Linked DNA regions of Mus musculus. The protein of the gene in region 2 purifies or fractionates together with the protein of the main gene of each other region. This does not show direct contact. Links are inferred from orthologs where the notes say so. Each region holds a gene or a part of one and is shown on either strand. Other genes may lie near its edges. The genes, in order: Edrf1, Ttc4 and Hgh1.

The links.
Region 1: the proteins of Ttc4 (region 2) and Edrf1 purify together in Homo sapiens (affinity purification with mass spectrometry; 3 studies listed by BioGRID and IntAct, counting the BioPlex papers as one, with this or other methods). This does not show direct contact. The link is inferred for Mus musculus from reciprocal best matches to the Homo sapiens genes TTC4 and EDRF1.
Region 3: the proteins of Ttc4 (region 2) and Hgh1 purify together in Homo sapiens (co-immunoprecipitation; 4 studies listed by BioGRID and IntAct, counting the BioPlex papers as one, with this or other methods). This does not show direct contact. The link is inferred for Mus musculus from reciprocal best matches to the Homo sapiens genes TTC4 and HGH1.

What each region holds. Positions count from the first base shown.
Region 1 is NC_000073.6:133,671,094-133,673,665, forward strand, and holds the end of Edrf1 (erythroid differentiation-related factor 1), read left to right. Parts: intron 1-272; coding exon 273-447; 3' UTR 448-1,924; downstream 1,925-2,572. UniProt on the Homo sapiens protein: Transcription factor involved in erythroid differentiation. Involved in transcriptional activation of the globin gene.
Region 2 is NC_000070.6:106,668,829-106,672,478, reverse strand, and holds part of Ttc4 (tetratricopeptide repeat protein 4), read left to right. Parts: intron 1-730; coding exon 731-855; intron 856-1,943; coding exon 1,944-2,030; intron 2,031-3,650.
Region 3 is NC_000081.6:76,367,589-76,371,779, forward strand, and holds Hgh1 (protein HGH1 homolog), read left to right. Parts: upstream 1-1,309; 5' UTR 1,310-1,367; coding exon 1,368-1,981; intron 1,982-2,063; coding exon 2,064-2,164; intron 2,165-2,267; coding exon 2,268-2,366; intron 2,367-2,573; coding exon 2,574-2,665; intron 2,666-2,743; coding exon 2,744-2,866; intron 2,867-2,943; coding exon 2,944-3,096; 3' UTR 3,097-3,823; downstream 3,824-4,191.

The DNA.
Region 1 (2,572 bases), on a different chromosome or scaffold from region 2:
CCAGTTTAGATTGGCACTTGTTGCTGAGTAGAGGGGCCATGTAGTTGCTCCATGCTTGATCAGCCCCAGCTCCCACTCAACTTTCTCCATGACATATTCTTTGACCATGTTTTTGTGACTGCTCCCAGTGCCTTTTTCCAGTGCCTCTGCTGGGAAGGCAGGGGTCTTTCTCTGGTTTACTCAACAGCCATAGATAAGTCAGATACTCTAAGAAGTGCCTGTTGTTTCCAGCCCCTCCCTCTATTCCCTCACCTGTTTGTTTTTAACCTCAGCAGTAACGCTGAAGAAGACATAGTCCTCCAAACCAACAAGCAGATTTACTCCCAGCTTTTGAGAGCGACTGCCAACAGAAACTCAACTCTGCTGGAAAGAATTGAAGTCGTCATCTGTTTGCTGGAGCAGCTTGCCTCCGGTAGCAGCCGATCGAGTGGCAGTGCTGTCCCCTGACTGCAGTGGTACTGGAGGACTGTCTTGTCAGTGCCTTCCCGTCCTGGAGCTGTCTGTCTGTCCACTCGGTGCTGAGACTTATTAAATATGAGGACATAGCGTTTAATCAGGTCCACAGTGGATACTTGCTTCCCATGGCAGGCAGAGGATGTGGGGTGGTTCGGCTTCTTGTGAAGGTGAGAAACTATAATGGAACCGAAAGCTTTGTAAATGTATTTCCTCGAGAAGTACATGGTTCCTTAGTGATAACACCTCCTGCGATGTCGCGAGACTTAAAATATTCTTGACGTTAAAACACTTAGGTGTAAGATGCGATTATTTTGGATAAAATGTTACTCTGGCCAAGGGAACTCTTATTCAAGTGATTTCATGGATTCAAATGGCATGTAGAAACAGTGCGCATCAGCGTCTACTTCTAAGTGACACAAAAGTGTCCCCTTTCCAAGCTGTGGTGTGCGCGGGAGGTTTTGACGACTGAGAATTGTGCAGGTCTCCTTTCAGTGCATGCTCTGAAGAGACTCCTTCTCTGACTGTGTATGACATTGGTAAAGAATAGGTACTATCACTTTCTCATTTTAAACTTGAAACTGTGAATAAGGTAAGAGAATTATTTTGAATAAATAAGCTATTTATTTAAAATACCTTGGTAGTTCCCACTTGCATTCTTCACACTGCTGTGATTTGATCTGCTTGCTTATGATATCAAACCTTTACAAAGTACATGGCTCCTAATTTTCAAGGCAAAGGTTTCCCCTACATTCCTGCTCCTGGGACATTCTGCTGTGCCCTGCTGCTCTGGGGATCTTGTCCAGTGCCCACTGCATGTGGGGCCGTCAAGCTGTCACTAACAGTTGCAAGGAAGTCCAGCATTTGCACCAGGCAGACTCTTGATATCTGGTATCTGGCCACAGTTACATCCCCTTCCACACCAGCCCCACTTACAGATGTGGGTTTCTGTCACTGGAGCAAGCAGGTCTCCATTGCAACAAAGCAGATTATTCTCTCACTATTTGTCTAGTTCCTTGTTTGGTTTGCATTGTTGTCATTGGAACAAATTTGCACCTGTTTACAAGAGTTAATCATTGCAACCCTTAAAACGTTGGTGAAACTGTAAAGCTTTGAGCCAGCTCCTCAGCCTCCTTTTAGGACGCCTGTGTCCTTAGCCCTGCAGCAAGTGTGCACACAGTACCACAGCCCTTCCTTCCTCCACTGGAGGGCCCTGTGGAACAGGCGAACTCATCAGGATTCCCGTGCTGCCCTAGAAAGAGGCTGGAGTGTTAGGACTACTTGTCTCCAAGCCCCTCTCCTTAGCTGAAAAGCCTTCTGATAGGAAAATGGATTTTAAGCAAGGAAGTAGAAATTTTGGCTCTTTCTCTTGTCATAGCAATAACATGAAAATTTCTGCAGGAGAAATAAAAGATACTTCTCAAATATGTTGTAATTACTTGTGTTGGTTTTAATTAAAGCCTCCTGAAGTATATGTGTTTTAGATGTTCCTTTAGAAGAGTCTGTGGCCTGGTCGCTCAGGTTTCTGAACCTTTTTCAGTTAGTTTGTTCAGATATCATCATCTATGACATTGGCTGTTGTGTTAAGAATTTAAGCCAGCAGGTGGTGGTAGAGGTGGCTGCTGTTGCTGCACATGCCTTTAATCCCAGTACCTGGGAGGCAGAGGCAAGCAGATCTCTTGAGTTCCAGGACAGCCAGGATTACACAGAAAAACACTGTCTTGAAGAAACAAACTAAAGAATTGATAAGCCATACTGTGTGGGAGTTAAAGGGTTAGTGCCTGTCCTAGAGTAGGAAAGTTGCACTTACCCAGCCAGCTTCCAGAGCCCTGTGGTGGCCTGACCCACAGGACAGAAGCAGGGAAGCCATGATCTGCCAGTTAGTGGAAGGGCCTGTGCACAGACAAGCAGGAGGCAATCATCACAGGGTGCAGACATAATGCTGTGCATGCTGGCGAGACCTGTTGTGTCACCCAAACAGACTTTGGGGACCTTTGGATCATGTCACATGTTTCGTGTAGCTTTCGCTGCCCCACCTAAGCTCCTTGAACAGACTATGCTTCCAGCCTCCACCCCGCTTCTCTTGAATCCACAGATAAAAGATACACACACAGTTGTT
Region 2 (3,650 bases):
GGCTATCTGACATCTCTGGCCTTTTCAGGCAAACACTCTCTCTTTCTCCCTCCCTCCCTCGCTCTCTCCCTCGCTCCCCCTCCCTCTCTTTCCTTCTCTCTCTTAAAAACAATTTTATTGTTGTTTAAAATTCTTTTTTCTTTCAAGTTTTATTTATTTTATGTATTCACCATTGCTCTCTTCAGACACACCAGCAGAGGGCATCAGATCCCATTGCAGATGGTTGTGAGCCACCATGTGGTTGCTGGAAATTAAACTCAGGACTTGTGGAAGAGCAGTCAGTGTTCTTAACCACTGAGCCATCTCTCCAGCCCTTAAAAACAAATCTTAAAACACACACACACACACACACACACACACACACACCCCATCTGAGATGGCCTTTATTCTCCCATTTGTAGACAAGGAATCTGAAGCTCAGACATGGCCTTTGTCCAAGATCCAGCAGGTAAATGACAGTCATTTTCTAGCCCAGCCCTGTCTGACTGTTGTTTGATGAGCTGGGCCCTGTATACCTGGAAGACTTGGAAGTTTTGAACAAATGGGGTTGAGAGTGATTTCTGATCAACAGTACACAAATCCTTCCTTGTCTAGGAACTGAACTACAAAGAGCCCTGTCCTGTCTGCCCTCCTGGGGCTGGCTGGTGACTGGTGAGGGAAGGAAGGCCTTTTCAAGGTGGTGCTTTCTGAGCATGTTGTTCTGAGATCCTCAGGACTCTGATTTCTGCAGGTGCCCTGTGCCATCTTGAACTGAAACACTTTGCTGAGGCTGTGAACTGGTGTGATGAGGGACTACAAATTGATGCCAAAGAGAAGAAACTTCTAGAAATAAGGGCAAAAGCAGACAAGCTAAAGGTTAGTGACTGTCTGCAGACAGTTTGCATTTGCTAGTTAGCATTCCTCAGATTGTGTCTCAAGTCGCTGTGGGAATATAGTGTGTGCATTCTAACAGTCTAGAGTAGTGGTAGCTGGCTTTGCACTGCCGACAGCAGAGTGTGAATGGGATTCTGACAGGTAGTTTGCTGAGAGAGGTGACGCCTGAGCCCAATCTCTGAATGACGGAATGAGAGTTTGCTGAGCAGCTGATTGATGCCGAGGGAGAAGACTGTTCCAGACAAGAAGCCCTAGAGGGATACTTCAGCAAATCTGAGTTTAATACTACTTTTACCACTGCTGAAGTGCTGAAATGAATCAGGACAAGTTCCTGATATTTCTTGGTCCCTGCTTTGAATATGAGAAAAATATATACCTTGAATGATTTTTTTTAATGAAGATGAATTGAGCTAAGCAAGTTTTCACACTTTCAAGAGATAATACACAATAGAGACCATGCAGTCTGCAGAGCCTGACACATTTGCTCTGTTCCCTTTGTAGCAGAGGTTGGCAGATCTCTATTAACTGCAAGCCCAGGGGGAAGCAGGAGCTGCTGGTGGTGGGCAGACTGGGGAGAAAGTCTGCCACCTGTGTTTCTCTCACTGATTTTAACTGTGCAGAAGGCAGAACCTGGGGTTTTCGGCAGCCATACCAGAGAAGTTGGGGTTCCCATGTAGTACTTGTCTACTCCACTGGGGACCTTGGATAGAGATGCCCTCTCTCCTTTATTGGTGGCATCTTCCTTGTCTGCCTAAGTCTACTTTGGGGGCACCATCAGGGTGACTCAGGGGTACACTTGGCTCTTAGCAGCATCCTTCACTGAATTGTGAGTTCTTGCAGTACAAGAACGAAGGGTTTTGTTTTGGTTTTGTTTTTTAAAGAACTAGGTTTTAAATTTCTGCCGACAGTGGGCCTGACTGTGGGGGCATGCTTTGTGGACGGTCACTGAGCCAGCCACTGGCAGTCTCTGAGCAGAAGGATGGTTTGCATAGAGACCAGATCTCTTGCAGGCTGGGGTAAAAGCAAGAAAGAGTTCCGTGGAGCTGACAACATCTGAATTATATTTCCAGAGGATGGAAGAGAGGGATCTGAGGAAGGCAAAGTTGAAAGAAAAGAAGGAACAGCATCAGAATGAGGCTCTGCTCCAGGCCATCAAGGTGAGTTCTCGAAGCATAGGCCTCACAGAGTGTGAAACCCCCTGGCTGTGTGAAGCCTCCTGGGGCCTTTGTTGGGGTGCTTTGCCTTCACAGCTGTGCTTATTACCCCGCCCGACCTCTGGAGTCAGAGCACCACGTTCAGTTAGCTTGTCCCTCCTGTGCCGGTCTCAGCAACATGCTGAGTGTGCGCTCTGAATAGTCATCCTCTCCCTCCCTCTCACGGCAGCCCTCTGGGGAAGGCCTTCTTCCTGGTTTACTAATCTTAGAAGAAAACCGCCCATAGTAATGGTGTCTGAGCCAGGGCCATGCTCATCACTGTAACATACTGCAACCCGAGAAAGCCACGCTTTTAGGATGTTGCTTTAATTAACAACAGTAAAACCCTTCCTGTCCTGCATTCTGAAGTGCGCGTAGTCTAGGAGGTCCAGTGGCCAAGCCAGTTAGTGCTTAGTACTTCCCTGAAGTGAGTGTCTGACCTACAACTTGAATCCTTGATGCCTGGCTAGTCTCCCATTCAACAGGTGATGCTGCCTGGGCTGAGGCTTTAGTCTCATTCTGTGTTCACAGTTACACACCATTTCAGTTACTGACTTAGAGAACTTAACACTGCTAAATCTACTCACTTGTCTCTCCCAGTAAGCAGTCTGGTAACATATATTAACAAATTCAATATGGGCCGGAGAGATGCTCAGTGGCTAAGTACACTGCCTGCAGAGGACCTGGGTTCTGTTCCCAGCACCCACATGGCAGCTCACAACTGTCTGTAACTCCTCACACAGACATACCTGCAGGCAAAACAGCACAGAATTATAACACACACACACACACACACACACACACACACACATAGGATGGCAGACAGATGCAGTGGCCCCATGTCTGCAATTCCAGTACTCGAGATGCAGAAGTGGAAGATGTGGAGTTTGAAGCCAGTTTCAAATAATAGTAAAACTCTTATCTCAAAAGATAAAATACAACCCAACAAACAGAACAGTACAGTATACTCCAGGTTTTTAAATTTGATATTCAGAGAGGATGTGGCCATTTTCTTGAATAAGAGACCCAGATAGTTGTATGTAGACTTTTTTTTTCCTTGACTGTATTGTATATGTGCACCACATGATTTATGTAGTGCCCACAGAGTAGTTGGGGTATTAGGAATTGAACCTGGGTCCTCTGGAAGAGCAGCCTGTGCACTAACCATTGAGCCATCTCTCTAGCCCCACATATAGATGTTTTAGAAATTTTCTAGTTATTTCTTCTAGTTAAGTCCTGTACTTTGGACTGCAGTACAAATTAAAATCATTATCAACAGTACAAAGCTGCCTTAGTTAGGGTTTCTCTTGCCATAATGAAGCACCATGACCAAAAGCAAGTTGGGGAGGAAAGGGTTTATTTGGCTTACATTTCCATGTAATAGTCCACCTTTGAAGGAAGCCAGGACAGAAACTCAAGCAGGACAGGAACCTGGAGGCAGGAGCTGATGCAGAGGCCATGGAGGAGTGCATTAGTTTGCTCCTCATGGCTTGCTCAGCCTATAAAACCCAGGACCACCAGCTCAGGGATGGCACCACCCACAATGGCCAGGGCTTTCCCCCCATCAATCACCAATTATGAAAA
Region 3 (4,191 bases), on a different chromosome or scaffold from region 2:
GAGCTTCCCTTTCTAGGTGACTATTTTGTGTCAAGTTAACAAAGTTAACTTTGTTTAAGAGAAAAATCTTTTGAGACCAGCTCATTTTATAGCTCAGGCTGGCCTCAAACTTACACTGACCTTCCTGCCTCAGCCTCCTCAGTTGTGAGATTAGACAGTGACACGTTTATAAAAAGATAAGGAGCCGGGCAGTGGTGGCGCACGCCTTTGGTCCTACCACTTGGGAGGCAGAGGCAGGTGGATTTCTGAGTTTGAGGCCAGCCTGGTCTACAGAGTGAGTTCCAGGACAGCCAGCACTGTCTCCAAAACAAAACAAAACAGAGGCAAGGGAGCCTTTTCTTAGAAACTCACTAGCTGCTGTCAACAGCTGGGAAATCTGGACAGTTGGCCCTACACAGACCTAACCACTTTGCCATTGTAGCCGGAAGGATCCCAGTCAGTATCTAAGGTTGCATAGGATCTGGAACCGTGGCGGTTCCTGGCTATCTCCTACAAAAACCTGACAAGGACCAGCCCTGGAAAAACCCCTAACTCAAGATTTCTAATTTGAGAGAGCAAGGACCCCAGGCAGCTAATTGCTAATACAGGCACAAGAAGCACCAAATGGGATACTTTCCCAGAACAGATCCTAGTACTGAAATTATCTTCTGCTAGGGATTACGTAGCTAAGAAGGCCAGTGTCCTCCCATCTGTGCTAACAAATGTGCCGGTGGAAGGTAATATGGAGCCACTGAGAAGCAAAGAAACGCAGCGAGGTATGGAAGACAGAAACCGAACAGTGCTCTAAAGAGCTGGCAGGGGCGTCTGTCACCAGGTGCCCCCAAACCTGCAAACTATAGATTCATTTATTAGTTCCCTTTGCCCAAGCCTGCTTGACTCAGACTTCTGTCACTGAAGAGGACCTAACAAATGCACTAGAAAAAAAAATTTAGCCCCTCTGCAAAGTCAGAGACTGATCCAAAGCTGCCTTTTCATCGCAGAGTCCTGCACCCTCCGGTTCCTGGATGTCTGAAACCAGGTTTAAAAGGTGGCAGCAAACACTCTGGACACCAGGATCACCGGCTGCCGAGCTTCGCTTCAAATTATGCGTGCTGGTCGCGTGGTTCTGACTCCTGGCAAAGCAAACACGCAATAGGCAGCCGGAAAAGTCCTTGCAAGGATCTGGTGGTGGTGGTGATGATGATGGGAAGGGGGGGAGGGTGCATCTGCACCAGCTTAAGGGGTGCCTAATACTGTGGCCCACAATGCCTCGCGCTGAAACCGGCCCCGCCCCCTTCAGCCAGGTTCTCAGCCTCGGAAGGGTTTTAACGACTTCCGCTTTTCCGGCGGTGGCCCCGGCACGAGAAGTGACTGAGACTGCTGGCGGCATGCGGGGACCGGGAGTAGGTTCGGGGTTCTCTGGTGAGCGAGGGTTGCTAGAGCAGGAGGCTGGCGCGGACACGGAGGCGGTGGAACTGCTGCCCTTCCTGGTGCTCGGAGCGCGAGCCGACCTGCAGGCGGCCGCGGCGCAGCACGTGCTGGCGCTGACTGGTGCGGGCTCGGGCCGCACGCTGTTGGCCGGACAGCCAGAGTTGTTGCGGGCCTTGGTCGACCTTGCGGTGGCCCCGGCCCCAGCTCCTTCCCGCGATGCCTCCCGCGCGCTCGTGAACTTGGCTGCTGATCCCAATGTGCACTGGCAGCTGCTGGCGGCTGACCCGGAGCTGCCCGCCCGCCTGCTGCGCTGCGTGTTGGACCCTCAGTGGCCCTGGGCTGAAGAGGCGGCTGCAGTGCTGGCCAACCTGAGTCGCGAGCCGGCTCCGTGTGCTGCGTTAATGGAGAAGCTGATGGCCGCTGAGCCGGAGCGGTTGGGTCTGGAGCGACTTGTCAACGCGCTGTGCACGCCGAGCTACAACGCGGCCGCACCCCTGCATTACCTGGGGCCGCTGCTCTCCAACCTTAGCCAGCAGGCGGAGGTGCGTGCTTTTCTCCTGGACCCAGACAGGTGAAACCCAGTCGCCTGCGCGGGCGGGAAGGTGGGGAAGTGGAAGTGAACAAGGACAGCAGTGAATATCTTCTTTCAACAGGTGCGTGGTCCAACGGCTGCTGCCTCTTACCCAGTACACAGATTCTTCGGTGCGCAGGGGCGGGGTGGTGGGAACACTTCGGAATTGCTGTTTTGAGCATCGTGAGTGACAAGGAGGGGGTGGTGCCATTGCCAAGGTGGGGATTGGACCCTAGGGAACCCAACGGACCATTATTCTGATCTCCTTCCTTGTCCGCACCTCCAGGACATCACAAGTGGTTACTTGGGGCCCAAGTCGACATTCTCCCCTTTTTGCTACTGCCCTTGGCTGGGCCTGAAGAGTTTTCCGAGGAAGAAATGGACCGTGAGTGACTTGGGTGGTTGCCTCAGGGCTGTCTGGTGCTAGAGGGAAGACTACAAGAGGGAGATGGAGAGGTGTGCAGGTCTGGAGTCCCTCAGTCCGGCAGCCTTTAAGGAGGGGGTCGTTACAGACACACACAAGGCTCACCCAGGCAGAGCAGGGCTTGGGTGTTCAGCACAGGGACCAATAGTCTCCCACCCTCACTCCTAGAGCTGCCTGTTGACCTGCAGTACTTGTCACCAGACAAGCAACGGGAGCCGGACGCTGACATCCGGAAGATGCTCATCGAAGCCGTCATGCTGGTGAGCAGGGGCCTGGGGTGTTAGTGCCTCTCCACAAGTCCGTATTGGCATCCGAGTAACCTTTTTCCATCTTCCTAGCTGACAGCCACGGCACCTGGTCGGAAGCAGGTACGGGACCAGGGTGCCTACTTGATCCTTCGAGAGCTGCACAGCTGGGAGCCAGAGCCCGATGTGCGGATGGCTTGCGAAAAACTTATCCAGGTGAGTGCGGGGGGTCAGAAAGGCTAGGCAAGTGCCAATGGCTTATGAGCCCGCTCACCTGCCTCCTCTTCTTGCAGGTGCTTATTGGTGATGAGCCAGAGGCTGGCATGGAAAACCTGCTGGAGGTGCAGGTACCTGAAGACGTGGAACAACAGCTCCAGGAGCTCGACCAGCAAGAGCAACAGGAGCTCGCTCAAGAGCTAAGAGGCAACGGTGCCCCACACACCTGAAGCCCCTTTGGCCTGAATGCCAGCTTCAGACCCACCTTTGCCAGTGTTGGCGCAGGGTTCTAGGGTCAATGCCCAGTAAATGGTGAGAAGCCCAAGGGTGCTGCCCAATCCTGTGCCCTGTTGCAACCGGCAATAATGCACATAGTTCAGAGCTGCACTACTGAGCTGGAGCTGGCTGGGTTCTGTCACAGCTGCCTACAGATGAGGCAGGATGCCGGTGGTCACTGGAGCTATGAAGAGCCTATTCCCAGCTGGTGATAGGACTGGACTGAAAATACTGCAAGCCCTGGGAAGCCAACTAGGTTTTCATTCCTGAAGGCACTGAGGGGTCTGGACGTGGGTAGGCTTAGAGATGTAAACAGCGCCGTGAGCCCCAACCTTCGGAGTCTTCTTGCTTTCCTTGCCCAAGACCTTAAAAGACAGACTACACTTGGATCCTCGTCCCTTCCTAGAATGCTCTGCCATCCGAGCCTGTGAGCCTGTCTCTGGATGACTTGCTGGGTTTCCCATTTGCTGCCTCCGTTTCTCTGTTTCACCTGTCAGCCTCCTTATTCCCAGGTTGAATTGGGACTTAGCCATTCAGCTAGATAGAACCTGCTCCTTGGTTAGCTTTTTCAAGTCTCGGTTGCCTTTCAAGGCGGATTTCTGAGTTTGAGGCCAGCCTGGTCTACAGAGTGAGTTCCAGGATAGCCAGGGCTACACAGAAAAACCTTGTCTCGAAAAAACCAAAAAAAAAAAAAAAAAAAAAAGACATCCAGACTCTCCTGCAAGAGATTCTCCTGCGTGTTCTTGAAGCATTTACCCCTGTACGATCCTACCCCCAACATTTGGAGCCTACTCTGTGTATGCACCCCTTCTTCCTAACTCTGTAGATACCGTGGCAAGTTTTGCTCTACTGTGTCCCCCTTTCTGAGCTACAGATCTCACTCCACCTGTGAGTGACGTTTTCTTCAGCAACAGGTCCTTCCAGGTCCCTGAGACCTGTAGTCTCCAAGGGAGTTTGCAGTGTTCTATTTCATACCCCTGAAGCTGGAAGACTGGTGTATGTGTTGTCATGCATGGCTAGGTGTTTTCACTGGGTACCAGGAGTCTTCT